3 linked regions of the Bombyx mori genome follow. Each later gene encodes a partner of the first gene's protein in a complex. Links are inferred from orthologs where the notes say so. Each region holds a gene or a part of one and is shown in the gene's direction. Other genes may lie near its edges.

What was found.
Region 2: transcription initiation factor TFIID subunit 8 (region 1) and Taf13 share a complex: the UniProt entries of both Homo sapiens proteins name them as parts of the TFIID basal transcription factor complex. The link is inferred for Bombyx mori from reciprocal best matches to the Homo sapiens genes TAF8 and TAF13.
Region 3: transcription initiation factor TFIID subunit 8 (region 1) and transcription initiation factor TFIID subunit 3 share a complex: the UniProt entries of both Homo sapiens proteins name them as parts of the TFIID basal transcription factor complex. The link is inferred for Bombyx mori from reciprocal best matches to the Homo sapiens genes TAF8 and TAF3.

The regions. Positions count from the first base shown.
Region 1 is NC_085124.1:7,744,342-7,755,120, forward strand, and holds transcription initiation factor TFIID subunit 8, read left to right. Parts: upstream 1-4,349; 5' UTR 4,350-4,521; coding exon 4,522-4,669; intron 4,670-5,048; coding exon 5,049-5,147; intron 5,148-5,678; coding exon 5,679-5,866; intron 5,867-6,622; coding exon 6,623-6,773; intron 6,774-7,308; coding exon 7,309-7,443; intron 7,444-8,014; coding exon 8,015-8,133; 3' UTR 8,134-8,665; downstream 8,666-10,779. Other genes in the region: mitochondrial tRNA-specific 2-thiouridylase 1, read right to left, coding at 1-5. UniProt on the Homo sapiens protein: The TFIID basal transcription factor complex plays a major role in the initiation of RNA polymerase II (Pol II)-dependent transcription.
Region 2 is NC_085115.1:8,090,160-8,101,222, forward strand, and holds Taf13 (TBP-associated factor 13), read left to right. Parts: upstream 1-4,389; 5' UTR 4,390-4,517; coding exon 4,518-4,559; intron 4,560-4,631; coding exon 4,632-4,807; intron 4,808-4,975; coding exon 4,976-5,133; coding exon of another isoform or gene 5,134-5,150; exon of another isoform or gene 5,151-5,284; coding exon 5,285-5,298; 3' UTR 5,299-5,345; exon of another isoform or gene 5,346-7,276; coding exon of another isoform or gene 7,277-7,281; 3' UTR 7,282-7,425; downstream 7,426-11,063. Other genes in the region: uncharacterized protein LOC101745370, read right to left, coding at 9,412-9,530, 10,260-10,444. UniProt on the Homo sapiens protein: The TFIID basal transcription factor complex plays a major role in the initiation of RNA polymerase II (Pol II)-dependent transcription.
Region 3 is NC_085113.1:3,410,927-3,421,693, reverse strand, and holds transcription initiation factor TFIID subunit 3, read left to right. Parts: upstream 1-1,648; 5' UTR 1,649-1,934; intron 1,935-2,088; 5' UTR 2,089-2,108; coding exon 2,109-5,645; 3' UTR 5,646-6,590; downstream 6,591-10,767. UniProt on the Homo sapiens protein: The TFIID basal transcription factor complex plays a major role in the initiation of RNA polymerase II (Pol II)-dependent transcription.

The DNA.
Region 1 (10,779 bases):
AACATTTTTATTAAGCGACAAAAATTCGAATTTCTCTAATCAAACAGGGAGCAATAACCTTCGCTTCTGTTATCATAGATATATTTTTTGGTACAATTTTCCTTATTAGGAAAGGCAAGGGGATCTAAGCACATACTGCCTTGTCTGTTCTGTATATTTTCTGAAATAAATTTTCAACAAAGCCAAAGACAGCTCTTATATGATTTATATTATATCCTGAAATAAAAATTTCATTTTAATGAAAGCGAAGTCCGAAAAACGAAGCCAAGTCCTTTATAATTTTTTCCTCATATCATAAGATAGTAGTAGCAGTTTTATTTTCCAAATGGAAAGGCAAAGGTATCACACCATACAGGCCTAATCTTTTATATATATTTCTTTTTATGAAATATAATATTATAAAATGAAATGAAGCTGATTAAAATGAAACATGGCATGGCATGGCATGGCATAAAATGAAATTAAATTAAATGAATTGAAATGAGATGAGATATGATATAAATAGACAAAATAAAACAAATCACACAACTTCACTGCTCACGTTCCCGCCAAAATGCCTGATATTTAATACACTAATTTCTCTGCTCCATAGAACTAGTTCTACCCTCCATACATAGAACCTACACTTATTATTTAAAACTCTATTTTTTTATATAGAGGATAGAAGCAAGGAATACCATCCTGACGTAAAAAAAGGCGTCCGCTGAAAGGGAGCCGCTGATTTTTCATTTTATGAATTTGGGTGCCGGAATATGGGAGAAACAATTTTTTTTTATTGTTTGGATGTCTGGACGAGCTTACAGCCCACCTGGTGTTGAGTGATTACTGGAGCCCATACAACGTACTCACCTTAAGATATAAGTTCTACGGTCTCAGTATTAGGGTTACAACGGCTGCCCTACCTTTCAAACCGAAACGCATTATTGCTTCACGACAGAAATAGGCAAGGTGGTGGTACCTACCCGAACGGACTCACAAGAGGTCCTACCATCAGTAATTATGCAAATAATAAATTTTTGGGTTTGATTTTTACTACACGATGTTATTCCTTCACCGTGGAAGTCAACCGTGAACATTTGTTAAGTACGTATACCATTAGAAAAATTGGTACTCGCCTGCGGGATTCGAGCACCGTTGCATCGCTAGATACGAATGCACCCAACGGCGGATCCAGGGCGGGGGAGGATCATAGGGGTCATGACCCCCCTCCCCCCCCGAGCTGGTTTCAGGACTTAGGTGGACCACTAATTGAACATATTTTTTTGATTCATGATTTTATTTATATATTTTGTCATACCTTCAATATTTAATTTATTTAATGTAATCACTTTGTATGATAGCCAAGGTTTGGGAACGAACGAAAATTTGAATTTTACCGCGTCACACTTGCGCGCGCTTTTCGACTACGTAACGTCTAGCTAGACCTAAGAAGACATAAATAAAAAATAAAATAAAAATAAAAAAATAAAAAAGCCTTTTATTTCTTGCTTTTCATACCAAAAAAAATTTACACTATTAATATGCCTGCAAAATCATTCACATTTTTAAATTTATTATCCAATATTTTAAATAAAAACGAAATAATTTTTAATTTAATCTTGATTATGATTTTTTGATTATGTACATGTTATGAGTGATAAGAAGTATTGAATTGTGTTCTTATTTTAAGAAATAATATACATAACATTTGGAATAATTTTTACATTGAAAAGTACTAAATAATGATTTAATTGGTTAAATTAGTCAGGGTTTATTTATGTTAGCAAGAACCCTCTCAATGAAAGGTGAAGGCCTCCTCCAGAGATGACCAGTACTCTCTATTCTCTGCCACTCGCGGCCATTGTACACCTGCTACTTTTATGATGTCATCTGCCCATCGTGTAATTGGTCTACCTCTTTTCCTCTGTCCTAGTGGACCACGCCATGATGTTGTCTTTGCGGTCCAGCGGTTGTCGCTGAGCCTCGCTACATGTCCAGCCCAACGCCATTCCAGCTTTTGTGAATAGCTGAGAGCGTCGATGGCTTTTGTTTTCTGTCTTATAGTCGTATGGCGGATCCTTTGGATTTTCTTAATTTTCAAGATGCTTCTTTCCATGCTCCTTTGACAGGATATAATTTTATTTTTTACTTTTCTGGTAAATTTCCATGTTTGACAGGCGTATGTTAATGAGGGTAGTAGGCAGGTGTTCATGACTTTCGTTTTCATCCGTATGGTCATATCGCTTTTGAGTATTTCTTTGAGACTCCAGAACTTTTTCCATGTGTTGTTGATCCTTCTCTCCACTTCCAATTCATTATTTTGTTGGTTGAATGAAACTTGCTTACCCAGATAAATGTAAGCACCGACATATGCTAAAGAAGAATTTTCAAGATATATCGGTCTTTCGATATGGTTCGTCATGATATTGGTTTTTGTTAGATTGATCTCCAAGCCTACTTTACGACTTTCTTCATGTAGAGTGTTTATCATTATTTGCAGTTGGTTAATACTTTCTGATAGCAGGGCTATGTCGTCGGCAAATCTCAAATGGCTCAAGTAACATCCATTTATATTTATGCCAACTCTTTCCCAGTTTAACTTGCCAATGATGGACTCTAGCACCGCTATGAAGATGGTCGGCGAGAGTGGGTCTCCCTGTCGTACGCCTTTTCTTATTTGTATGGGTGGCCCTGTAGTTTCCAGCTTCACTCTGCTAGTGCTGTTGTCGTAAATATTTTTTAGGACTTTTATGTAATCTAGTGGTACTTGTTGAGAGAGCAGAGTTTCCCATATAGATGAGTGGAGCAGAGAATCAAATGCTTTTTGGTAATCGATAAAGACAATGTAGAGTGGTCTGTTGAACTCTTGGTATTTTTCTATCAGCATTTCTAGCGAGTGTATATACGTGGTCCAGTGTTGAAAAGCCTCTTCTGAAGCCTGCCTGTTCGATGGGTTGGTATTTCTCTGTGCTTTCTTTTATTTTTTTCTCTATTATTGAAGAGAACAGTTTATATAGTGAAGGTAGTAAGCTTATCGGTCTGTAATTACTTATATTATTAGGGTCTCCTTTTTTGTACAGTAAGATGATATCAGACTCTGACCATTGACGAGGTGTATACGAGCTGTTCAGTATCTGATTAAATAGTCGAGTTAGTGGTTTTGCTAGATACGCGCATCCGAGCTTTATGGTTTCGTTGGTGATCCTGTCGGGGCCTGGACTTTTCTCTATTTTTAGTGATTTAATCCCTTTAATCACTTCGGATTCGGAAGTAGAGACGAGAGCAGTCATAGACGAATACGAAGAAGACATAAAAGACGTTAAAGAAAAATTGATTTTGTTATTTAAATATATGTATTTTGTTTGTTTCTATTTTGTTTGTTGGAAACCCTAGTCGTACCACCTATTTACGAACATTATTAAAATACCTACTTTTTACTTGTATCTATTGTTATCAAAATTAAATTATAAGTTCTTGACTTGACCACGACTATGTGACCCCCTCCTGGCGCCAAAGCTGGATCCGCCGTTGAATGCACTGGACGTCTTATCCTTTAGGCCACGATGACTTTACAACTTCACACTTGTGCCATTTCATATTTCTTTTTTTGTGAATTTTGTGTTTATTTAATTAAAGGCTTTAAACCTCTTTGCCTGTCTTATGAACAATTAAAACAAAGAACTCTATCATAGATAATATACTTGTTGAATAGATAAGGATGATACAACTTGATAGAACAGACAAGGCGCTATGGGCTTAGATCCCCTTGCCTTTTCTAATAAAGAAAAATTGTACCAAAAAAAGTTTATGGATAGGTAGGGACTTTTTGGCGGGAACGAGAGGTGTCAAGTTGTGCGATTTGTTTTATTTTGTCTATTTAGTGTTTCTTCAATTTTAAATGTGTAATAACGGTGGTTTATTAACTGCTTATTATCTGTGAAAGTGCACAAATGTGGGAAAATGAAACAAAACCGTTGTACATAACTTCTTGGGATCCTCCAAAAAGCCCACTGAAAAAATCTCAGTAAACGACCACCATTTTACTGAGATTATATTTCATCCCATATGATCTCATCTCATTTCATTTAATTTCATCCCAGTTGATTAATGTCTCAAATTCTTCATTTCATTTCACTCCATATTATCATTTTTCATAAAAATATCCCATATCATATCATCTCACCTCATTTCAATTCATTTCATGTCAGAGATGGAATGGCATGACATCTTTCATATTAAATTAGTCAGCTTCATTTCATTTCATAATTCATAAAAAAAAGATTAGGCCGGTTGGTGTTATTTCTTTGCCTTTCCATTTGTAAAAATTAAACTACTAAGGAGTATGGGCTTAGATCCCCTTGCCTTACATAATAAGGAAAAATTGTACCAAAAAAAAAAGTTTATGGATATGTTTTGTTGACGAAGCGAAGTAAAGCAAATAATATTATAATTACATTAAGTGTATTATTTATGAGATAATTACAGTAAAAAAAGTAGTACATAGTTCGATAAGCCAATTAAAATTATCTAAAGAGCAGTAAAATGTCCGAGATGTCAGAAAAAACTGAAACTACATCTGATGCTCGTCGACGTATCTTAAACATTGCAGTTTCTACGGTATTATTGGAGACCGGTTTCGATGCTGCTGATAAAGTTTCGTTGGAAACTTTGACTGAAATGCTTCAATGTTGTACGTAAAACAATATCTTAAAATAACGTTTTACCAATAGACGTCTTTTTCATTACAGTTTAGTGCCAAGTGTATTTATATAATTGTATTTATATATTTCCACCAATAAAAGACCAGAAATTTTCTTTAAAGTAACAAATCAGGTACATATTTCACAGAAATAAAAATTTACTACTCATTACAAGAACTTCATACCAGGAAATTGGAATTTGCAAACAAAGTGAATTTACTTAATAGATATTGTGGTGCATTTATTAAAAAAATCAATATGCTTATGTTAACTAGCTCATTCACTGCTAGGAGCAAAGTTCAAAAACATAATTTATTTTTATGTAAAATATAATACCAATTACACTGTTATATTAATGGATTGTTTTAGTTTTTGCAGAAGTTGGGAATTCGGCGAAAGGATTTTGTGAGCTATCTGGACGGGTGGAGCCAGTGTTGGGTGATGTTGTAATGGCACTTATTAACATGGGTATAAATAAAACAAAACTTTATTTATAATTTTTATAATATAAACTTTATTTATAAAGTTCAGTATTTGCATTTTATATTTGAAAATGGGAAAGGAAACCTGTTATATTTGAGTCGTCTATTATCAAAGGCGGCAATCTGACTTTTGGACAATGATTGGTAAATCAGAAAAACGAATTATTGACTTTGTATTCCATCGGCAGTCACAAAACTCTTCGGAACGACATCTTAGATAAATAACAGGTTAACTATTAACCTTTATTTAATGCAGGTTTTGAACCGTATTCTTTGAAGGAGACGATTATATTCAAATCAATCTGTATTGACATATCAATAAAAAAAAATTGTCCAAATGCACAGATTGCCACCTTTGATAATAGACGACTCATTTGTAAATAAAAAAGTGATGAAGTTTCCAAATTTTTTCTCTGAATAGTAATATTCATAAATGTTAGTTTTCATGGTTATGAATAGATTAATAAAAAATGAGAAACTTTACTGAGTGCTTGTTAATCATCAATTTTTTTTTTAGGTATAAGCTTACAGGGTATTGAACAATATGCTGCTCGTCCAAATCGGCATGTAATTCAACCTCCTCAGCAAGCTCCTGCACCTCGCACCCCAGCTATGTTGTCAGCTGGCTCTAAAGCTAAACCAGCACCACATATACCTTTTCATTTGCCTCCATTACCAGATCCACATGCATACATCAGAACACCTGTGAGTATAAACCTTTAACCACAAATGTTATACTAAATAATAAGTAGGTAGTTGAATGATTTTTTGTTTAGTTTTAATCAAAATACAAAGCGAAGGATATAAAACAAAATGATTAAATAAATCATTGGGGACTTTTGAGGTGATGCTTAGTATTTTGCAGCAAAATAGAAATTAAAAGTTTTTTATGTTTTTTTTATTGCTTAGGTTTGTGGACGACATTTTCGCCCATCTGGTGTTAAGTGGTTACCGGAGCCCATAGACATCTACAACGTAAATGCTGTCACCCACCTTGAGATATGAGTTCCAAGGTCTCAGTATAGTTACAACGGGTACCCCACTCTTCCAACCAAAATACATTACTGCTTCACGCCAGAAGTAGGCAGGATGGTGGTACCTACCTGTGCGGACTCACAAGAGGTCCTACCACCATAATTACGCGAATTATAATTTTACGGGTTTCATTTTTATTACACGATGTTATTCTTTCACAGTGGAAGTCAATTGAGAACATTTGTTTAGTATGTATTTCATTAGAAAAATTTGTACTTGCCAGCGTGCTTTGAACACCAGTGCATTACTGGATACTAATGCACCGGACTTCTTATCCTTTAGGCCACGATGACTTCATTGTGATCAGTTTTGATGTTTATCATTTTTTATGAAGCAAAAAACCTTCTGCCAATATGTATATTCTTGAATAAATAAAGTTTGTGACTTCTAAATCGAACTAATTCGTTGTTTTTTTTTTAATTACAGACTCACAAGCAACCAGTAACTGAATATGAAGCCATTCGAGAGAAGGCAGCAACCCAAAAAAGAGACATTGAACGTGCTTTGACTAAATTCTTAGCAAAGACAAGTGAAACCCATAATTTATTTAATACAGAAGACAATCAGGTTTTTCCATGTATGAATAAACTCCTTTCATTTTGTATTAGGAATATTTCTCTTTATAGAGATATTAATAGACTGTTAACATCTCATGACCATGTCACTCATGTGATAAAAAGAAATGCATGTGTAATATATGTTCATAAAACTTCTTCCAGGATAAAAGAATAACATTTATAAAAAAATGCAACACATAGGCAGCTACTACCATGCATCCTTTTTCTGACAAGAAGGGGTGATGTGTTTTGGTTTGAACGATAGAACAGTTATTAAAAATATATTATCGAGATTTCAACCTTATGTCTCAAAGAGTGGGTGGCATTCACATTGTGATCTTTAGAGATTTTGGTAACCACTTAACACTAGGGGGCCTTGTACTTTATATAGTAGAAAACAGTATTTTATGAAGAATTTTAGTAGAAGTTCTTTTATTTCATAATTGTGAGTATGGTATCACCTTAAACTGAAGCTGAAATGTATAAAAAAAATTAAAATCTATATTGAAGTTAATCAAAATCTATACATAATGTGATTAATCTCACATGTTTCAGTAATCGCCTGTAAGCCTACGTTTCCAGCTTATTTGCCCTGTCTTTTACCAACGGACCAAGTCTTTGATTTTGATGAATTAGAATATCATTTTCAAGTCGCTAACAGAACTGAAGACTTGCCTGCTGATAAAAAAGGTATAATCTATATATTAATATGTGAAGCAAAAACTTTGTATCCCTTTTTACGAAAATTGCCTGGACGGAGGAGTATGAAATTTTCCACACTTATACAGAATATAGAGAAGAAGTGCACAATGCTAATATTTTTTTAAAATAATGCATAAAAGATACATTAAATCAATAAAGAAAACATTACACACACTACATAATAATATCATGTATTTGACGCACTGCATACTATTTATTGTCAAACTTTTGTTCTTGACGTCTGTGGTCAAATTGAGAATAGATTAAATATTGTTTGTCTTTATAATTTTTTTTTATAGTGTAACCTTGGCGAAATTTGTGATTATAGAAGTATAAAATACAATCATAATATTGTACAAACATACAATTCCAATTAATTATAGTCGAATTTCGACTACTGCGGGACCTCTAGTAAAACATTAAATTACAATCCAGTGTGTAAAATATGCTCGGCCCAATAGTCACAAGTTTGAAGTATTCTCAAATTGAATTTGTTGTTTATAATTAGTTTGAATTTATAGTGGATTTAGAACTTTATATAATCTATATCCTTTTTCAGATCAATCAGACAATGAAGGCGAAAATGGCGCTGACAATGATAATGCAAATATTTCACAATCTGAAAATCAAGAAAGTGCATTAACATCCAGTCCAGAGAGAAATAAATCTGGTGGATAGATTAATTATTTAGATAGTAATTTAAATTTGTTTTAAAATTCAAGTATATTTGAGTCGACTAATAGCAAAGCCGGCAATGTGACTTTTGGAAAATTATTGGTAAATCAGAAAAACGAATTATTGACTTTGTATTCCATTGGCAGTCACAAAACTCTTCTGAACGACATCTTAGATAAATAACAGGTTAAGTATTAACCTTTATTTAATGCAGGTTTTGAACCGTATTCTTTGAAGGAGACGATTATATTCAAATCAATCTGTATTGACATATCAATAACATTTTTTTGTCCAAATGCACAGATTGCCACCTTTGATAATAGACGACTCATTTATAAGTACATTGATTGTTTTTTCTCTTCGTTCTTCATTAATATATGAGAATAATACCTTCGAACCGAACATACCTAAAGGATTATTATATCCATCCATAGTATTCCATAGATCATTATGGAAACAATAAGGAAACATCAACGTTGATAAATCGTAAAAAAATATTTGTGTATAAATTAAATCAGATTTTTTTTTACTAATATTTTAGTGTATATCTTTCGCATTTTAATTAGTATTTTTGATACAGTCGGGTTTTTTGTTTAGTTAATTGATTTGTTGTAGATAACGGGTTAGATAGGTAATTAAGTAGATGATCTTCGTAAACAAATATTCTAGAACAGACGCAAATATTTTTATTGCGTTAGGAGGTAGACGAGCATACACTCTGCCTAATGGGGGTGCTTACCGATACACATATATGCATCAGTAACGCATAGCTGAACCGTTGCCTGCCACATAAGATTATTTTCAAACAAAAAAAGACATATAGCGCCCGGAAAATACCGCGGAGGGAATTTCAAAGTCGACCCTACCTACTAATACTACGTGATAAAAATGATCTCTGAAAACGGATATCTGATAATTGAACGGATAAGAGTCGAGATTGTGTGGCATTCGGCAAACTACCTTTAGCAATTCCCCAGAGAACTCCCCATGGATCATGTTACAAAACAAAGAGAACCGAAGTCCCTTCGTAGTTCAAACTCCAAGGTTCTAAATTATCCATGAGAACGTGATGAGATTATCGACAATCCAACCACTTCGATAAAGCGGCACGACACGAGAACCCTCTCATCGTGGCCGCCGGTAACTACATTCCCGATCCAGCGGACAGAATGGAAAACAGTCGACGTCGCCCAAAACACGTCATCTCGGATCCTCCTGATCCACTAACGGTGCTTCTAGGTACTTCAAGCACCCGTCACCGTTCTCGTCGAACCCGTCGCTTGCGACGAAGGGCTCGACGAGTAAATTAACCCTCAGACAGAGCCCACTGAGTTTCTCGCCGGATCTTCTCAGTGGGTCGCGATTCCGATCCGGTGGTAGATTCTGCGAAGCACGACTCTTGCTAGGGTTCGTGTTAGCATCGTCAACAGGCTTGAGCCCCGTGAGCTCACCTACTAGTTAAGGTTACGCTGGAATAGCCTCTCTAGGCTACCAGCTTAGGTAGGAAAAAAAAAAAAGACAATCCAAACGGCCGTCTTTTGCAAGGAGTTAAATGAAAGCAACTAGTAGTTGGGAGACCCGCCCAGAGTTGGGAACCCTACCCCACGCTAGGTCAGACATAGACCTTACAACTTATATCTCAAGGTGGGCGGCGCATTTACGTTGTAGATGTCTATGGGCTCCAGTAACCACTTAACACCAGATGGGCTGTGAGCTCGTCCACCCATCAAAGCAACAAAAAAAAATTATCTCATTGAAATAGTAATAGATAAGACGTAATGCTATAAACATGCTTATTACGTGAGAAGCAAGAGTATGCATTACTCTCGCGCAAGTTTTATTTTTACAGTATTCGTGCAAATTCTAAATTGCGGCGACATGACAAATATTCTTTCAATGAATTTTTAAAGGTCACTAAATTGAATTCATCTCATTTAGATATTCGCCTTAAAAGTTCTCGATGGATCGCATGACATTGATATGCAGGATGAAAAGCGTGGGGGAGACTGCAGTGCACTTAATGGAACACCCGTGTTAAAAGTCCTGGCATCGGAACAGCAATTGGCTTTTTTCAGTTCCTTGGAGATTCTGGAGAATGGTACACACAAAGGATGCCCACTGAACAGCCATGACTTTAATCATGACATCAGCTGCCAATCTCCAACGTAATGTAGGAGTCTGGTGCTAAGAACCTGCTCTATCATATTGGAAGATAAAGAAGTTATCAAGAGTAGTCTGTAACTATCCTAAAGGTTCTGACCCACGCTGCTTGGATCTCTACCCATGTCTACCCACATGAGTAGTAAATTTTTTTTATTGCCATGGTGGGCAGTTGAGTTTACGAACCACTTGGTGGTAAGTTGCTGATAGTCTGGCACTCAGGTGCACCATCAAACAGCTGCTACCTAAAGTAGTAATTATCTCTTAGGCTACTACTAAGAGAAAATATTCTACTTCTTAAAATATAACAACACAATTTTGAAATACATATAAGCCTATTATTATAATTAAGCCATAGTAATTACCAGTTAGAAAAAACAACCATCAAAGATATACCAGCTTGCAGTATGAATAATATTATGATGTTAAATGAATTTGATCACTAGTCATCTTACTCATAAAATTTATTCATTTAAAAGTTTATTTTCC
Region 2 (11,063 bases), on another chromosome or scaffold:
AGAATAGAACCTATATTCCAATTTTCTTTAGATATAAGCTGTCAACATAATAGGTATAAAATGGATGAAATTTAAAATGTTTAAAGGTAAATTTTTATTATGGCATCAAATTTTAAAGATATCTGTTGTGTCAATCGATGTAGTTATTTGTGAGGTTTTTTTTTCACTTATTAAATAATAATTTATTGATCTCTTTGTGGAAATATCCATTTGTCTCACTGCATCTAGTTTTATATGAGAAGTCTCATGAACGTCAAAGTGTGGATATGTTATCGATATTCGTATTATTGGTCTGTGTTAAAATAGAGACTTACCTACACACAGTAACAAACAGTAAATGAAGGCTTCCCATGTCATAAAGTATTAATCATAGATTGTATGTATGTAGAGCTTTAACCCACCCTGTGATTTTACTATATTTAATTTTATTCTGTAAAGTTTTTCATAATATTATACATTTTGAGGAAAATCTTGGAAATAATAAACTGTAAGAATGTATTATAAGTGTTTTATATTCCTTGTTTACTCACAAGACATAAAACAAGAAAAATTATATGATTACCTTTTCATTGCATATATTGTTTTAAATTCAACAGAAACCATAGGAATCATGATTTGCGTCCAGTTTGCGATCCAGTTTATTTTATAATAAAAAAGCTAAATCAAAAGAACGCTCTACATTTTCATTCACTAGAAGTAGTGCCTGAACCTTTAATTTTTTTCTTCTTTTTTTTGCTCTTTTTCTCTTTGCTTTTCTTTTTCTTTACTTTCCCTTCTTTTACATTTTCCTGCAAAAGAAAAACAGGCATAAATCCGAAGACAACAGTATTGTAGACAATATGGTCACCAAATGACAATATAGTCTGTCACTTTTCTGAGCCCCTCGTAAGGCATGGGAAGTGAGTTCATTCCAATATCATGGAAATTAATAACAGATGATTAGAATAACTTGCTAGATTAGAGCATGAGAAACGAAGAAAAATTACAGAAGTGTGTCTCTGTGTGTGTGGTGTGTGTGTGGTGTGTGTGTGTGTGTGTGTGTGTGTGTGTGTGTGTGCGTGTGTGCGTGTGTGTGTTTTCTTTGCATATTAGTGATGATTTATAGTATTTATTACCTTTTTCACGATTTCAATTTTTGGGGCAACTGGAGCACATCCTTCCATCCTTATTGCAGCTGTGACTTCATCAATTTTGCTCATGTCTGCATTTGGAACCTTATACTGTTCACAATGATCAACACGTAATGTACGCCCAAGAATCTATAGCAAAACAATTAATATTTTTTTACTTTTTTAATTTTTTTTATTGCCTAGATGTGTGGACGAGCTCACAGCCCACCGGGTGTTAAGTGGTTACTGGAACCCATAGACATCTACAACGTAAATGCGCCACACACCTTGAGGTATAAGTTCTAAGGTCTCAGTATAGTTACAACGGCTGGCCCACCCTTCAAACCGAAACGCATTACTGCTTCACGGCAGAAATAGGCGGGGCGGTGGTACCTACCCGTGCGGACTCACAAGAGGTCCTACCACCAGTAATTACGCAAATTATAATTTTGCAGGTTTGATTTTTATTACACGATGTTATTCCTTCACCGTGGAAGTCAATCGTAAACAATTGTTATGTACGTATTTCATTAGAAAAATTGGTACCCGCCTGCAGGATTCGAACACTGTTGCATTGCTATATACGAATGCACAGGATGTCTTATCCTTTAGGGCATGACGTCTACATAACTACAAAAATAAAATGCATATGATGCACCATAATAATAAACTGTTTTTCACTTTCTTTTTTAGTAGTATTCTCTCTTTTAATATTTACCTTAATACTATTCAGATTGTCAACTGCTAAAATTGTTGATCTCTGATCCTCATAGCACAAAAATGCAAATCCTTTTGGTTTCCCAGTTGTTTTATCTCTTACCATGTTTATATTTACAATTTCACCATACCTTTCATAAAATAAAAAATTGATCATTACTTAGTAATAGCTGTTGGTAGAATGATTATTACACTCAGATCTAGGTCAGTGACTGACAAATGTCCATTGGCTTCATGCAATATCTGAATATCTATATATCTAAGAAACATAATTAACTAGCTCCCTATAAAAAATATATATTTTATTTCAGCAAGTAATAATGAATGTGAAAAACCTTACTGAGAAAATACACATATAACATCTCCTTCAGTCAAATCATATGGAAGTCCACCAACAAATATCCATGCACTGTCCTTATATTGATCATGCCAAGAAGTTTTTGAGCTGCTTCCTAATTCATGTTCACTAAGCTTTAAAACATTCTTCACATTTCTGTAAAAAATTAAACACTCAATGGAATATGGCCAATTTTTTTATATATTATTTGCTGATTAACAAATGAAAGTTTTTTTTATTGCCTTTGTAGACCGACAGCATATAACCCATCTGATGGCAAGTGGTTACCATTGCTCATGGACATCAGCATAGCTAGCCCAACTGGTGTTAAGTTGTTGTCTCATTGTGATGAGAACAGTGAGTCGACTATCTCAATCATGGCTTCAGTTTTTAGTAAAACAACTGATGTACCCTTTCAACTAGAGCTAGCTTCGCAGTAAAAATACCCATGGTTGTGGAACCTACATGTACAGTCTGACAAAACCACACCTCAAGTTTGTGGATATGATTTTCATTACATGATGTTATTCCTTCATTGTGAAAAACATTCATGAATATGTGTTAATATGGATTTCCTTAGAAAAATTTGAAAATTCCTGCAAGGTTTGAAAATTCATATAATAATATGTAGTTCAATAGAAGTACACTAGGTGTCTGATCCATTAGATTATAATGAGGACTGAATAAAATGACAACAGCAAAAAGTTTCGTTTGTTTTTCCTCACATCACTCATCTTCATAATATCACTTGTGTTCAATTTCAAACGGAACCCCACATTTTAAACATGGTGCAGTAAATTAATGAAACTAGTAAAATGTCTTACTCACGTCATTGGATTCATTATGACCGGCTTAACTCACGGCTCACGGTTTACGAGTTAAAATTGTTTAAAGTTTCCATAAATATTAGAAAAATCGTCAAGGTAGACGTCACAATGGGGTTGGCAACTGTCAAAGTGGCGCTGGTGTGCATTGTTCCCATAACATTCAATATTTGTATTGGAATTTTTGATTAAAAATTATTTTAAGCACAATGACGCGTTGTTTTGTACCAATATGCTCAGAAATTGGAGTACATCAATTCCCGAAGGACAAGAAAATTGGAAGACTGTGGTTAAAGGCCATTTGACGCGAAAAAAGTATTCATACAGAAAGTTCGAGGTTATGTCGTAAACACTTTGTGGAATCTGACTATGAAAACATTAGTAAATACACAGGTATGCTTCTTTCTGTCAAATATATATAATGCATGACTAGGTGTAGCACACATCATTGTTCTCTTATTAAAAAAATCCAATAATAATAAGTAGATTCATGCTGTAAGGAACCTTATAACAAACACAAAATCAGACTGGAGGAAACACATTCCTCATGAGCTGTTGTTCATTATCAGCTGTTACTATTGAAAGTTCTATCTAAATCGCTGCATCCATTGCAATAACAAATATTTTGAAACTATGGTCAGCTTTCCTTGTGATAGTATATTTAAATGTTATTCTTTGTGTTGCAGGTGTCAAACATTAACATAAATATCTGAAGAAAGGTGCTGTACCATCTATATTTTCATGGAATATGAAACCAGTTTCTGAAGAAACAAAAAGTAGAGAAGTTACTTATGTAACTTTAGAGAAGGAATTGTCAATAAAAATAATTAAAAATATTCCTGATTTTTTATTTCGACAAGTGTGTATAGTTATAATACAGATATTTTTTATACAATGCTTCTTTGAAAATATTTTCATAAAAGATATCTAATTTATTTAACATATTATTTATAAAATTATTGTCTTTTTCAACATAAATCACTTTGATGTCCTTGTAGGTGTAAATGACCAAGTTGCAGTATGTTTTGCCTGAGCAGTATAACTGTCCTTGGATTTGATAATAGTATGGGCAGGATTTTTTAGAGACAATATCCCGTTACATCGTTCTAAGTAAGGCACCGTTGATATATTTATTTCATGTTTTCTGCTAGCGTATGGACATTTCACTTCAATTATAGCTTCTTCGCCCAACACACCATCAGGAGATGCAGCAAGATATGGGCGCTCTTGGCTATTGAAAATGCCACATGGCTCCACTAGCAAATCATATATATTAGCATATTTTGCTAGAGCATTTTTTTCATTTTGTTTCATGACTTAAAGGTCTCAGTTACCAGGTCATAAAATCCCTTAAAAAAACTCTATGTCAATGTCATTCTCCATAAAATAAAAGATGTTCATTGTTTTACTTTAACTCGTTTGTTTTAAAATCCACAACAAAACTACTACCACTACTGACTATTTATTTATGTAAAATTTCTACAAATAAACGTTTTAAGTTTTACAAAAAAACTTTAGTAAATCAATATCATGGCCACTCCCACTCCTGATTCGCAAGATAACTTTGACCAGGTAAAACTATTGATTTTCCGTTGCTTGTTTATTTTTTTGTTCTTTTGTGTACATAAAAGTATTGCTTTGTAGTTTGATGAAGAAGAAGAGCAACAGTTAGGTGGAACTACATCTGGTCGTAAAAGACTTTTTAGTAAGGAATTGAGATGTATGATGTATGGATTTGGTGATGATCAAAACCCGTATACTGAAAGTGTCGATTTTTTAGAAGACTTAGTTATTGAATTTATAACAGAAACAACACATAGGTAAGATAAAAAAAAAACTTTTTTGTGTCTTGAGAAAACTTCAATATTTTTATTCTTCTTTATATTCATGTTTGTGTTTCACTCCGTATACCACATCACACCAGGTGGACTCATGAACTCATGCAATCCTAGATTTAAATAGTACAATACTAAAAATATATATAACAGGGCAATGGAAGTTGGTAGAACAGGAAGAGTCCAAGTAGAAGACATAATTTTCTTAGTTCGTAAAGATGCACGAAAGTATGCACGTGTTAAAGACCTTCTTACAATGAATGAGGAACTTAAGAAAGCTAGAAAAGCTTTTGATGAAGTAAAATATGTTGGTGAGTTGTACATTTGATTGTAAAATTTGAGTGAATTTATTCCCATTAAAAAATCCAATTCTATATTACTATCATTGTAGTGTTTCAGTTTGAGATGTTTCATCTAAAGTGTGATTATTAATGTTTGTATTGAAATGTTTTGAAATTATAGAGGACCAACAGTAACCATACTGTGGCCATACAACCGACGCCATGCTTCTAGACTGATTGATGCAAGTAACATATATTTAATTATAACACTGCTTTTGTGTTTGCACATTCACAACAACACTAATGTCATGAATGGTTGTAAATTTAATAAGATCCTGAATGTAGATGTATCTGTAATTTGTTTTGATTACTTTAAATGTATGGTAAATTATACTATATAATATAATATTTATTTACTATCAAATATATAATATTTAGTACCTACTTTTTTAAATTTTATTGTGATCACCAGTGTATTATAAACAATAAGGTTATCATTATAGTAATAGAGTTAGAAGACCTTGTGCAAACGATATTATAGAATGTTCTGTTAAGTAGTATTTGCCCAAATTGTAGCATGTGAATCTGATTGTGAAAACTAAATTCTATTTTTCTTAATGAATATGCATTTTTATTAAAAAAAAATCTCACAAATGAATCATGAAAGTATTTTCTATTACTAGCCACAATTTTTCTCATCTTTGTGGCAAAGTTCAAATACCTCCTTGGTAAATAGAAGTGTCATTTTTGAGATTATCTATGAATGAAACTAAGCTATTGTTTGATATCTGTATATGAATGGAACAACCAGCCAAGTAGATACCATCAAATGGAACAAAGAATAATCGAACAGCAAAATATTTGGGACTGTGGAGCTTAATATTATCATGCAGGAGCATCACTTTCTTGTGTCTCTGCTCATTTTGTGGGCATTTTTCATGCAGTGTAAGCATTGCATTAAGCTTCACTGCATTAATTATATTCTATATCATTCTTCAGTGGAGGTTTTGTTCAGCTCCACAGCTCTTAATATATAATGCCAACCTGATTGCACCAAATACACAGTATAACCTTCGTAAGCTGAATATTTGGCAGTGGCAATGATGTAGAAACATTAACGGGGAGTCTATCATTAGTCCTTTTCCTCCCCGTGTGTTTCATCATTGCAAAACCCTTTCTTTTGTACTGTTGGAGTAGTCGTTCACAGATGAAAAGACAATGTTCAACATCATTTGGCTTCACTTCTAAAGGGAATCAAGTGTTACCCACTAGTGGATATGCCCAATCTTGGCTTGCAACCCTTAATATCGAAACAAGCTGATCTTATGTTTGATATGAATCCTCATCGAACAATAGGTTTTCATCTTTCGCATCTGTGGAGCGACGGAACCAATCAATGCCATGTTGCTTCATTCACATTTTCTCAATGCACTTGAGCTGCTGTTTTCTTTGAATGAAAGCAATTCTTCCTGCAAATGATGCTTCATTGGCACAAAATCAGACCATAACTTATTGCTGCAATTTGGTAGGTAAGCTCCTGGGGATCAACCTACTCCTGACTGATCTCCAAATCTTGCCCCTCCTGCCTAAGTCCAACCTGGCCTGCCTTATCTTGGTGAAGCTGGAAGACATCCATGCAATGCCGCTATCAAAAAAAAAATTGCAAATAATCTGTTTAACAATAATAATTAATTTCACGTATGTTTTCACGTTTAGAAATTCATATTGCATAAGCATTTTTATTGTTTATTGTTAATTTATGTGTTACTTTTGCACTTTGGTATTTGAAAGTTGTGTTTTGGCAAGAGATAGCAGCTTGAACAGTTAGCATGTTAGGATATGAGAATTTGTGTACTAATGAAATGAATGTCTAATATTTACATCTTGTACTACTTTATAGGTACTCTAACCCTAGATATATCACATAAAACTGTTTGGCTTGATAAAGAAATTAAAGCACTACTATCTGTAGAATGTTTTTTAAGAGAAAACAACAGGATTAGCAATTGTAGCATAATAGTATTTGTGTTGCTAATGGGAAATATATGTGTTGTGTTCAAAATTGTATGTTAAATAATTGCAAATTTGTTTCCACCAACAAGGTTTGTTGGTGGGGGAGTAATTTATTGTTAATAAATTGAGTAATAGGCTAATTATGCATTTAAAATTTCAGAATGAATACCAAAAACATAATTGGACCTGATAAAAGTAATACCAATTTGGGACTTTGGAGAGCAGTGAAATGAAAAATGAATTAACTATTTGATATTATGAATTTATTAAGCTAGTAAGGTAATAAGTAATAAAACTTACTGACAAATATCCTTGTTTGTTTTTCTTCAGAGTAGTATTAGAATATTTAGTAATGTTTGTTAAATATAATAATAAAATAAAAAAGATTGTGTTTTTTGCTCTATGACTTATCTAAAAAAAAATATTTATTTTTTAGACAATTTTTTTTATGATACAGCATACAAAAATACATACAACCCTAAATTTTCACCCCTCTACGATCAACCCTTATTTTTTATTTGTTAATACTGTTCGGGAAAACTTACTTTTGGACCAGATGACGTGTAAGACCTTGATTAGGCCCTGATTAAAAAAAGGAACTAATATATATTATCATGTACAGGGACTGTTCTAAGTTCTTTAACAAAAAAATTCAAATTGAAAGAAAATCATACTTGATTAATATGTAAACTTTATTTGTGCGCAAATACAGTAAACACTAAATAAACAATACTAGAAATTAAAGTTAGTGGCAAAGAAAATTTAAAAAATTAAATTTTCTGTATTAAATTTATGCAATATATTATTATTCTAATGATTAAATAAAATAACAATTTTACATACATCCTTTTAGGTTAATATTTGTCTATAATATGTTGGTAGGTACAATAATAACTTGATATTATATGAAGTTTTTTTTGTCAACAATCTATAAACATATTAATTTTAAAAATACAATGTTCCACCAAGTAGGTTGTAATAAATATTTTAACAATGTTTCACAATAGAGGCGACTAGACTTGATGTTCAATAAAACATCAAAAGTCCATACTTTGGTTTTTTTCATAACAGATTTTAAACATTTCATATTATAAATAGGCCGTCTATGGCAGTTAGTACAATATAAATAGGTTAGTTCTAAATTTATTAACCTAAGATACTTTCTAAGCTCGGGCTGATAAATTATTGTTTAAATATCATTAAATGGAATGACATTGCAATCTTAATTTGTAAAAGTTACATAATATCAATTTCATCGTGAACTTTCTTTGCCGATCTAAAGAAATTAGAACAGGAAGACATTACTTTTGAGCGTAAAATTAGTTGAATGGATTGGAACAGCAATCTGTTGGTAAATCACCAGTATTTTTCTCTGTTTCTTTTACAAAAAAATCTCAACAAGTCTGCCTATAATCTGCATGTAAATATTATAGTAAACATGTACATCTAGTAAATATATTTTATCTATGACATCAGGATATATATTTTAGCTTATTATTATCACTTGATGTGATTCATCTTATGGCAGACATCCAAGGCAACTATAGTTTCTCCATACTTGTACTTCCATATATGTTTTAAATTAATTATTTTTATCAACTTATCATATCAATGTCAAGTTTCAGTGCTATAGTGTGCTGTGCTATAAAGCATTCACGTAAATATATTGACCACACAATACAATTGTAATTAAGAACCTTCAATTATTAAACCCAACTGAAACTCCCTTGGCAGTGATCTATCATCTGTTGAAACTACCCGTGCGCCACCTGTTGTACCCTGATGGTACTATAACAAATCTCTGAACTACCTATCATATATTGTAACTATACTGAGACCTTAGAACTTATATCTCAAGGTGGGTGGCGCATTTACGTTGTAGATGTCTATGGGTTCCAGTAACCACTTAACATCAGGTGGGCTGTGAGCTCGTCCACTCGTATATGCAATAAAAAAAAAAATATATATTCAATTTCACTTAAAATCACATCAACAATTTAGAAATGCCTAGAGAACAAATTTACAAAGAAACATTTGTTGTTATAGAGGTGGCTTTAGTAAATCTGTATCAAGCACATTTTTTTGTTATCTGTGTTCTAAAATATTTAACATAAGACTGAAAATTGTAAATAAATAATTGTTGAAGGTATGTATTTAATAACGAGTTAATTTTAAATAAGTTTAAGATTTCTTTCATCTATATCTTGAGAATAACTTTGAACACGTTATTTAGAATATAGCGTAAGATATTGTGTGGTAATTCATTTTGTGATTTCTAGTCGTTTGATAAGAAAATTATTCAGAAGGAGGTGGGTCTATTGCGCAGATTATGGCTTTCATGACTGCAGCAGCGCATAGTGCAGCGTGGGGCTGCCAGTCCTTCCCACGGGTGCCGTCGCGATAGTCCGATATACCTGAAATACATAAATATCAATTAATTTAAATTGCAATTATAGTAATCCGTTTCAGTCAATTATGACCAAGGCCTTCTAGAATGGAACGCCACAAGACGTCATTGACGTATTGTCTATACTAATATTTTAAAGCTGAAGAGTTTGTTTGATTGAACGCGCTAATCTCAGGAACTACTGGTCCGATTTGAAAAATTCTTTCAGTGTTACATAGCTCATTTATTCAGGAAGGCTATAGGCTAACGGTAAGACAATACAAGTGGAGTACCAATAAAGAATGTTTCAAAATAGGGGTTTAAATAGCTCCTTAATATTCTATAATTCAAAAATATTTTCACTTTTTACGTAAATGAAGTGGGAGGTAAAATTTAGCGTTATGCCAAAGTAACTATTCCACGCGAACGAAGTCGCGGGCAAAAGCTAGTATTTAATAAAGTTTAGTGTATTAATCATAAATAAACAACGTCTTTTAAATTTATTACGTACCAATTTATCTCTTAACTGTATCAGATATACAAACTTATTTTCAAGAAACAAATAGATGTAACGGAAGATATCAATGTGCTTAGTACGAGTTTTTTAATGTTATCGATAGCGTAAAAGTTAACTCAAATTTTATGGAGTTGGAACGTTTACCTACGTTTGCCACTAGGGGCGCTGTCGCTATCGAGAACGTTAAAAACTTGCACTGAGCGCACTGATTGGTGCTGAATAATGAGAATGACAACTGACCTCGCAGCGATATGAAGCAGTCCTTGCAGTTGCCGACGACGCTGTCGAGCACGGCGTCGAGCTCGCAGTCGTAGGCGAGCGCGCGCGTGTGGGCGGCGAAGGCGGCCCGCCCCTCGCCCGCCGCCGATACCACGCGCCCGCCCGCCACGGGCGCGCACGTCACGCGCAACCCGTCCCGCGTGTCACTGAACAAACCAAATGAGGCCTATAAAATCAAAGCAGCTAAATCCAATTCTGTCAAATATTCAGGTAAACTACAAAAATCGGCCCTAAACACGTCATTACGGATCCTCCTGATCCATCGAAGTACTGCTCTTGCTAGGGCCAGTGTTAGCAACACTCCCGGTTTGAGAAACTGAAATAACTTTGTTCGGGTAGCTACGATATTCTTTATTTTAAAGCAGATTTATAAAGAATGAGAATATTAGTAATAATCTGAATTTTAAATGATTAAACTTCGTTTATATTTGTGTACAAAGTAAAAGTAAAATTTTTGACCTGAATTGGCTAGAAATTTAGCTGCATTTCTTATAACATGAAAATACTAAAGCGGGTCCAACTAACTAAACAAGATGGCGCCATAGTTAATCCATTTTACTACATTTTAAGGCGTTTAGCTGCCTTTGATTTTATAGGCCTCAAATAAACCTTTCATCCAGTATTTAAAGTAGAAAAAAAAATAGTGTCAGTGACGTCAGCGGGGTATTCCGGGACACCTGCGGCACCGTCTGGGCGGCCTGACGGGCTGCCGTACCGTCGACGGCCGTCGTTTCAGAGCCTTCGATTCGCCTCGAAGGCTCCGTC
Region 3 (10,767 bases), on another chromosome or scaffold:
TATGCTGTCGTTGACATAACAATAGCGTTTCCAGCATCGTAAAACTCATGCCAAATCCCTATACAGCATAATAAAAGGACACACTGCGCTGACCTCATATAATGTGGAATAAGGGCAAGAAAAAGAAGAGACATTAGTTTTCTGGAATATCTTTTTTTTTTTTTATGATTGAAAGTTTACTGGTGGCCCGAAGGCCTTTCCAGTTTCACCAGGACAGGTGGGCGAGCAAAGGTTCAGCCAAGAGGGGTGGGATTTGCTAACAACTGCCCGAGCGCCTCCGAAGGAGACCTAACAACTCAAGAGCAATTGTTTCGCGAATGAATCTACTACCGGATCGGAATCGCGACCCGCTGAGAAGATCCGGCGAGAAACTCAGCGGGCTGATGCATGGGTTAGGTTGCACGTCGACCTCTTTGTCGAGTTCGACGAGTACGGTTACCGGGGTCCCTAAGCCTGCCCCTAGTATTAGAGCTGAAGGCATCTAATGCAAAGGTTATTGGATCTGATGGATCCGTAAGGACGTGTCTAGGGCGTCGACGGTGACTGGCTCCTGCATGATCAGGATTCGGGGAGTAGTCAACGGCGGCTACGATAAGGCGATTATCATGACGCATAGCCTTATCGAAGTATCGTTCCGACGCTGACTTCATGTATTTCCGAATTGATTCGAGGCCCAGGTCGTCGTGTAGGTCAACGTTCCTCACGAACCACGGAGCCCCGACAGCTAACCTGCAAAAGCGGGATTGTAGGGATTGGAGGGTGTCTATGTGTGTGCGGGCCGCGTGAGCGAACACCACACTCGCGTAAGTCATGACGGGCCTTATGCAAGTTTTGTAAAGTGTCACCTTGTTCCGAAGGGACATTTTACTCCGCTTACAGATCATGGGGTAGAGTCTACCGAGAATAAACGCGGCACGGTCACGGACTGATTTTATATGCGGGCGGAATGTCATCGATGCATCCAGGGTAACGCCCAGGTACTTGACCTTCCTGGCCCAGGGTATGGGTTGTCTAAAGAGAGTAATCGGGGGTGTGAGATTCCTCCTCCTAATCCGGGAGGAAATCCGTGTGGAGCTTCCCCTCTGAAATAGCACCGCTGTACTTTTCGCTGGGTTGATGTCTATGCGCCATTTTCGGAACCACTGTACTAGGGCTAGGGCTGCGCTCTGAAGCTTCTTTGCGATTAGGGACTTATTTCTACTAGAATAGTAAACAGTCGTGTCGTCGGCGAATAAAGCTAAATGGGTCGGCGGCGACCGGGGAATATCGTTGACGAATAAGCTAAATAGGAGGGGTGAGAGGACAGAGCCTTGCGGGACTCCAGCTGTGAGAGGTCGTGGGGAGGAGCGGGTTCCCTCGACTCGATATCGAAAAGAGCGGTTTGACAAGAAGTCCCGTATGATGAGCACGAGACTATCCGGCACGCCCATGTTGAATAGTTTGAAATCTGGAATATCTGTGTTAAAGATCACCCAAGCTTAACCGATTATGAGGATTACGGTAGCTTAATTTTTTTTTAATTATTTATTTGATTTAAACAAAAATAAACTAATTGAAAGGAAATGAATTAAAAAGAAACTATAAATAAAACATCTTTGAATAAAGTCGCAAAGCAAATGCTCCCTGTAATCAATTTTAGTCTATCACTAGTATCATTGAACGCTGCCATAAGAAGACCGCCATTTGTTTATTTTCAAATAGCAACACTCGACATTGACAACCCAAAATGCAATCATGGCGCACGGGGTACTGTGTTTTTAGAATGCTGAGAAGTTTTTACGTAAACACTTCGTTAATTTATATTGCCATCGATTTGTGTGTTTTTATAAATTACCCTTGACTTTATATAATCATAGTTAAGCATACATGTATGTACAAAACTTGAGAATTTCAGCAGTTCAGAACCACGTCTCTGTACTACTGGACACTTGCAGGTATAAAAATCACGAGTTTCCTTGTTTTACCACTTTGACGGCTTGTAATATGATTCTCTGTGATCGAAAATGCTTGTACAGCATTTCTTCGCTTCGACGCCATTTGAATTATGCTGATTTATGTTTATAATACCGATATAAACATTTGTTCCAGATAACGTTGTTGGTGTCATAATGTCAGAGGCGTACGCCCGCGAGATACTACGGAGGAATGTTGCGCAAATATGCCAAACTATAGGATGGAACGGCATAAACTCAACGCCACTTGACATTTTGGTACATGTACTGGAGAAATATATCAAAACCCTTGGCATCCAAGCCAGTAGGCATGCTGAACAATTTAATAGGACTGAACCAAATTTACATGACTTAGGATTAGTATTCCGTGACCTTAATGTGAATTTGCCGGAGCTTGCTGAATATGTGCGTTGTGTACCTCCTGTTCCACCTCCAGTAAACTCTGTTAAATTCCCAAAACCGAAAGAATCGAACTTAAACTTCTTAAAACCAGGAAGTCATGAAGTTGTCACAAGGCCCATGCACGTGCATGAGCATCTGCCTCCTATGTATCCAGAGAAAGAGAGAGACACACCGGCTGTTGCAGGCACTATTGAAATACATCAAAATGGTATTGATAATGTCACTAGCAATAATACCATATGTACAAGTCCAGAAATATCTGTCACAGACAGTCCTGAGAAATCAAAGGAAATTTTTAAGAGACCAATTGATCCTGTTTCTTTACCTAATAGTAAAAGGCCACGGTTACGCTTAGAGGAAGAGGAGAGAACGAGAGAAATAAGTAGTGTGATGATGACCATGTCTGGTTTTCTGTCACCAGCCCGTGAAGGTAAACTTCCCGAAGCCCGTCCTCCTACAATTATAGCAGAAAAGCACTTTGAAAAGCACAAAGTTAATTCTCATACAAATGTAACTAAACCTCCAATTTTAGAAAAAGTTGATAAGAAATCTAAGAAAAATAAATTACCTAATGGTAAAATTATGAAGAGTAAAAGAAAAGATAAACATAAGAGTGAAAGTGGTAAAAATAAGGACAGTAATAAATTAAATAAATTTCCTCCTGGTTATCCTGTAAAAAGTAAGGATGTGCAGCCCAGACACCATAATCATATAACTATGCCAGCGCCTGAAGCTGCCCCTCCACCTCCTCCTTCAAGAGCAAAGATGGCACCTCCTCCTGCACTGGTGCCTATTCCAGAGCCAGTAAAACCTGTCATAAAACAGGAACCATTGGATCCTCCGTCACCAATATCCAGAAGGCTTTCTGTTGAAGATGCAATACCGGTCCCTAGAAAAATTCCAATCTCATTATCTCCTCTAGTATCTAATTCCATCACCACACCTAAACAGCAGTCTATGAGTAATTCTCTCATTCCTCACACTGAAATAAAGAGAGAAGTTTTAGATGAAGATGAGAAATTGGCCTCTCAACCTGATAAATCAAAGATTAATATATTTAAGAGAATAACGAACAAATCAAAAGAAGATAAGACTACTCCAGAGGTTGTAAATGATAAAGTAAATCTTGATGCTACTATTTCAAGGTTGCAAAATGCATCACATCAAAATTCAGTTCATAAGTCAAATGAAAATGCAAGAATGAAATCTGAAGTGATAGACCAAATTGTGAACAATAATGACGATAGTGCTGTAGATTTGTCTAAAGTGATGGATTTAAGAAGTAATGAAGTGATTAATATTGATGAGGATTCTTTGGACAGAAACCCTACACCACAGCAAAGACAACTACTGGAATCTAAACCTAATATATCAATCAACAAGTCCTTACAAACCCCTTTTCCCAAAGATCTACCGAGTGTTAGTCCTAAAGTTAAAAAAGAGAAAAAACACAAAGACAAGAAAGATAAAGCAGCAAAATTAGAAGCTAAATTGTTGAAGAAGCAACAACAACAATTAGCCTATGAAATGGCACAAGCTGAAAAGCAAAGTATGAAATTGGCTGGAATGAAACAACATAAAATCAGTAGACAGAAAAATGAATCAAAATTGCCACAAATGCCAGCTGGTTTTCCATTTTTTCATACAATGCCACCTGGAAGAGGTCTTATGCCCGGCCCTGGTCTCATCCCGAACCCTGGATTGATACCAGGAAGTGAATTCTTCACTGGTCTAGCAAACAATCCAGCACTAAGAGGTATGCCACCCTGTAATTTATTAAACAATCCATTTGCTTTGGGAACCAGTGGTCCTGGTCTCATTCCTGGTCCTAGTTTCTTACCTGGAGGCTTGAATTCTCCTCTGATGCCTATGGGAAATTTTGCCCAATCATCGAGATCTTCTTCCGTTAAAATACCACCAATGCTCCGTCGACCGAGTTTGGAGGTAATAGCAGTAGAAAATGATGAGGACAGAGGTATTCATAAGTCTTCAATGAATCGTGAAAAGGACCGCCACGATAAGCACAAATCTCAGACCATTCCAAATATATTACAGAAACACAAGTCTAAGTCGCATAAGGATCACAAGGCTAATTTGTTCAAAATGCCTCTTGTACAACCAGACATAACAATTGAACTGAATCCTCCGAAATCAGAAGGTATTAGACATCATGAGCCACCCCGGGATGCACTCAATCAAGCTCGTGTGTCTGCTCCAGCCAGGCCTGTAGGACCTACGCCACCAATACCTCCACGTGTGCCTATCTCCAAGCCTGATCCTGAATCTGAACCGGTAAGGGAAATGCCTCCCGTCAGGATGGCTACACCGGATTCTATTCTAGAAAAAGACACCGAAAACACAGATAAAAAGAAGGATAAATCCCATAAAAAAGAAAAGAAAGACAAAGATGGTGTAAAAATTAAAAAGAAGAAAGATAAAAAGGACAAAAACAAAGATAAGTCTGAGAAAAAGCGCGATAAAGAAGAAAAACAAGAATTAAAAGATAAAATAAAAAAAGAAAAGAAAGAGAAGAAAAAAGATAAAATTGGCGATGGTCTTGTTCCGAAATTGACGTTGAAAATAAGTTCTTCAAATTCTAATTCACCTATGCCACCAAGCTCGCCCGATACTTTCAAATTAAATATAAAACCTGTAGTGAAGAAAGAAGAAGAGGACAGTCCAGTAAAAGACGAACCTTTGTCCAGGGAGCACAGTCGTTCGCCTGAGTTAGCTCAGATTTCGGCTCTCGTTACTAGACCACCCAAACAAAAACATTCTAAACACAATCACCTCGCAGACGGAGAGCCTCAGCCCTCGCCGCCCCCCTCGGGCAGCTCACCGCCCGAGAAGGGCACGCCCTCGAGTCATTCGAAATACAAAAGGATATTGTTCAAGCCGTTGGCGAAGAAGGGCCACGAGCACTTTGAAGACGAAATCGCAACGTTGTCTGAGGAACCGGCCGTGGCGCCGGCACCCGCCCCCGCCCCGCCCCCCGACACTAAGCTCGAACCCCTCCCTACCCCTTATTATGTTGATGAACAGGGCAACAAAATATGGGTTTGTCCGGCGTGCGGCAGACCGGACAACGGTTCGCCGATGATCGGCTGCGACGGATGCGATGGCTGGTACCACTGGGTGTGCGTGGGCATCACGGAGGAGCCGGGCGCCACGGAGGACTGGTTCTGCAAGTCGTGTATCGCGAAGCGCGCCGCGATGGCGCTCGCCGGCGTCACTTCCGGCAAGAAAAGAGGCCGGAAACCCAAAGGGGAAAAAATCAGAGACTGTCATTAATACGGACCTTATGTTGTTACTGAGATTAGTTTTAATATCCTTTCGATAGGCAAGAGTGAATGGATGAGAGTTGTTAATGGATTAATTGTTGAATAATATCACGAAGAAAAATGTTTTCATCATTTATAATGTTATATCATAGGCTCGATTAAGTATAGATAATAATTGAATATTGACATAAAATGTTGAACATAAAATATAGTGTAGTTACTTGTAATAATTTTACCAATAATTCTAAATATTTTGTTACGATTTCTCGTTTATTTTCTTTCGCTCGGTTAGATCAAGATTAACTTACGCGAGCGCGTTATACACATCTCGCGTGTAGGTATGTATACATAGATGATAATATAAGATTCTTTTTATATTGTACAAAAACTGAATTTACTTAAGAAATTGGTGATGTATAAAGTAATGTAGTGAATATTTAATAAACAGAAGAAGGCTGGATGCATTTTCAGCTGATATTTGAATATTTTCATATTATGATTTTAATATAACCCTGTTTATTTCTGTTGTTTTACTTTCGTTTTGTACAAGGCAAGGACGATCGTGTGATTTTGGCGCCAAAACAAATTCGTTATCCAGTGCGGATACTTCACACGGCTTGCTTACTTGCGACATCTGGCTGAAGGGAGGGGGGCCAATGTATTTGTTTTATTTCAGCCATGGCCAATTAAATGTATTGGTTCTCGTAATGTAGTACATTATTTAAACCCATAATCACGGTTTTGTGTACGGTAAGACGTTCGGGGTATGGGAACGCAAAAATTGCAAATGATAATTCCGAACTTCTGTGTGATTATTATAACGAGGCCTGATGTGATCTTTGCTGTGTGGTCTTGTAATTTAATTTATTAAACAATCTAAACCCTTTTATTCTTTCGTCCACAATTCACCTACCATATTGTCAAAGATATGTATGAAATATAAAATTTGAGTCAACTTTTTTGAAGTTTACTTTTTCTAAATTATTTATGTATTTTAACGTGTTTGATGAAGCTGAGTCAAAATATTTATCGACTGGGCAATTTGTAACCTTCAATTTACTTGTGGGCTCATTCAGTGTGTGAAGAAGAGATTCATATTTTGTAGTGGAATTTGTATTTGTCTTTTACGTGTTGAAATGTTGAAATTATAGTATAATTTTCAGTTCTTGCATGGTTTCTAACTTAATATCATCAACGAACAGTGACTCAAGTTGCTTCAACACATTTGGTCATTTTGTATATTTGCGGCAGTCGCTTAGAGGCTTGACCAGTGAGCTCAGTGCGAGTTTCTAAAGTTCTCGACCGCGTAAAAGTTAACTCAAATATGTATGAAGCTGGAACAGCGCCCCTAGCGGCAAACGTATGGGGCACGAGAAGTTAAGAAACTTACTAAGCATAATGATCCAACCGTGACAAAAATGTATCTAAAACATTCTATACATATTGAAATTATAATATATTATGCTCTTGGTTCTTTGTATGTAAACTTTTAACAGTTATGAAAAAGTACAAAAACACGCTATTTATTTATTTAATTGTAACATGTTCTATTAACGTTTTGTGAGTCAATCCGCGGAATCATCTCTTTCACATTTCTACCTCCATACGTAATAGCCTGTGATCACCTCAGTGTGCTTAGTGCGAGTTTTTTAACGTTCTCGATAGCGTAAAAGTTACCTCGTATTTGTACGGAACGGGAACGTTTGCGTACGTTTGCCGCTAGGGGCGCTGTTCCAACTGCACACGGCTTCACTTTTACGCTATCGAGAACGTTAAAAAACTCGCACTAAGCACACTGATAACGTCTTAAGGTCCCTACTACTTTGACAAAGCAGTCCGACACGATAACACGGCAACGCAAAGACGTCCTCACCCGAAACATGTCTTGTTAAATCATCTGAATCCACTCACCGTGCTTTTAGGCCCCTCAAGCAACGTCCTCGTCGGAATCGATCATTACGACGAAGAGTTCGACGAGCGAATTAGCCCAGATACAACCCACTGAGTTTCTCGCCGGACCTTCTCATTTGGTCGCGATTCCGATCCGATCTTGATAGAGGTAGCACTAGCAAATTCTCTCAGGTTAAGTCCTCGAACTCCTAGCTTTTGTCTACCTATCTGCCATTGGCTTATTCTGGCTTCCCTATAACTCGTGGGCGAGTTCACAGGACTCAGCCTGAAATACTGCAAGACAACGTGACTTAATCTGTTCCGCAAGTCGATCCCATAGGTTTGTGAACAATTTTTACGATCGTTAACATTAGTACATTGCAACATTGTCTAAGACTTCCGGGACCGGGTAGTTTCTCGTATTATCAACATGTACATTTCTGATACCACCGTCCTGTGCTTTTCGTTTTATTTTATTTTTACAGCTCTATAGATGCGAATGCTCACGGCTCTTTTAGTGTTGAGGATAGCGTAGTGCATACACATCATATAAGTACCACCCACTCGCAAATGATCTCCGCTCACTCATTTAGAACAGCACGTCTAATACCAAAACTTTTTTTTTTGTAAAAGACTATATTCATATAGTTCAATTACAAATATTAGGTATTTTTCACGACACGCATTGTTTCTCTAGAAATCTTCGGGACTAGCAACTAGATGGCGCTGCAGTCGAATTTGGCTCATAAAACAATGTTGGTAGTGAATTGCAACACTAATATGTGAAATGAACTCAAATTTCCAACTTAACTAATCGCTTTAATACAATGTTTTACTGGTAGGACGTATTGTAAGCCCATTAAGACAGTTACCACTTTAATGCCTACATTTGCCACTTGGTTGCCACGAAGCAACCAAGCGTTCCGCTTTGAAAGATGAGACAGATAAAATACAGCTTTTTTTTCTTAACTATGCAGATAGAATCGAATCGAATTCCCAGAATCTACCACCAGATCGGAAACGCGACCCACTGAGCAGATCCGGCGAGAAACTCTGTGGGCTGTGTCTATGGGTTAATTTATTAGTCGAGCCCTTCGTCGCAAGCGACGGGTTCGGCGAGGACGGTGACTGGTGCTTGAGGTACCTAAAAGCACCGTTAATGGATCGGGAAGATCCGTAATAACGTGATTAGGGTGACGTTGACTGTTTACCATTCGGTCCATTGGATCGGGTATGTAATTTCCGGCGGCCACATGAAGGTTTTCGTGTCGCGCCGCCTTCTCAAAGTGGCACTGGTGCCGACTGAAGATACCTACCTATTGTTGGAGTCAAGCTCCAGATCATCATGGAGATCCACGTTCCTCATGAACCATGGTGCTCCGACGGCTATCCTGCAAAATCAGGATTGAATGACTTGAAAGGGTTTCAAATTAGTGCGGGCCGCTTGAGCGAACCCTACACTTGCATAGGTTATGACAAGTTTGGTAAAATGTCACCTTATTACGAAGGGGCAATTTACTTCGTTTGCAAATCATCGGATAGACATTTCACAAGCAATACTCCGTCATTTAAGTAGTAATTAAATTAAGTATAGTAACCGGCAAACTTCTTGAGCAAATGACCTTGACTGCGCAGAACCGAATTTTAGATCACTTTGGTGGTGAGGGTGAGGCGCGACGGCAGGGGAAATCGTATCGAGCGCGTTATTGGTAGATCAGTCGAACCTTGCGTCCCGCACCGCGCCCTCTTTCCGCTTGCTCCCAAAAGTACGCTTGCGTACAGTGAAAAGTCTATCGTTATTAATTGTTAAGTTATTTGTTATAATTGCTTGTTGACTTTGTTGCCATTTCTATATGTTGAGTGTTTGTTGATTTTTTATAAAAAATACACTATGCCGCGACAAACTGGTGTAGTAATCAAAAGAAAGGGTAGAAAAATTGTGTACGACGTATATTGCTTCATTTTAAAACAGGAGAAGGATGATGATGGTCAAGATTATGATAACGAAAAAAAAATTACAAGTACCAGCTTCGCTTCAACTGAACGAAGACCTGGCAACAGCTCTAGTTTTGACTTAATAGAAGGAATATCTATTTTACCCCAAGATCAAATTATTACAATTATTAACCTATATTTTTTGTTGATGTTTTAATAAATATATAAATAAATACATAATAATTATGTTGATATTAATAATTTAATAGCATTATGACGCAGAATAAATAATGTTTTTGCACGTGAGTGTACCATGCGCGAACTTACCCCCACTACGTCGACAAATGCTCAAGAAGTTTGCCGGCTATTATAGATACGTTGCGTTTCACTTATAAAATACGTATCAGTCATTAATGGTATTTTAATTAACAATCAGCTGGAACGTATTATGGTACGACGTTACAAATCGGTATTTAGTATTTTAGTAAATGTTTAATAAAGTTTCATATTCTGATGCTGTCGATACGTAAATCATATGAGCTTTTTTTATTGCATTGATGCGTAGTTGAGAACACGGCCCATCTGATGTTAAGTGATTATTGAAGCCCGATTGCATCACATTGTGAATGCCGCCAGCCATTTTGAGATATGAGCTCATATTGCCGTAGAAATAGGCAAGCCCCTACTTACCCGTGCGGGCTTAAAATACGCCTAAAATACCAGTAATTGTCTAGAAAAATTTATTAAATGTATTTATTGTGTCATGCTTGGATTGCCTTAATTGTTTTTTTTTGGAAATTACCATTTAATTTTTATTAATTTAATAAGTAAGAACTGACAAGAACTTTCAATGGCTTATTTAACGGCCGAATAAAACATGTGATAATTTTGTAATAAACAATAAAATACTTCGAGTTTAGCTTTTGTAAAATGTGAAATCATGATGTATTTAATTAATAAATGACAATATCTTGAGATTATTGCCACGAAAACTTAACACCACTAAACTTGTACAGCCTTTAACTTCATAAATAATTTCCCTTCTAAATCTAGTTATTGCACAATTTGAATTAACAAACATAAATAAATTGCTATCTGCATGACGGAGCATCGCTTCAGAAACGCTTGAGCTATCTGACGAATTTATTCTTCGTTGTGTAGGTACAAAATTGGAAAACCCACAAAAAAAATCTTAATCTTAGTGCGAGAGGGATTTTACCAGTTTTTTCATATGACAAAATATTCACTTTTTTCATGGACACGACATATTGTCCAGATACAGACATCCTTGGGCGGTTGAGTGAGTG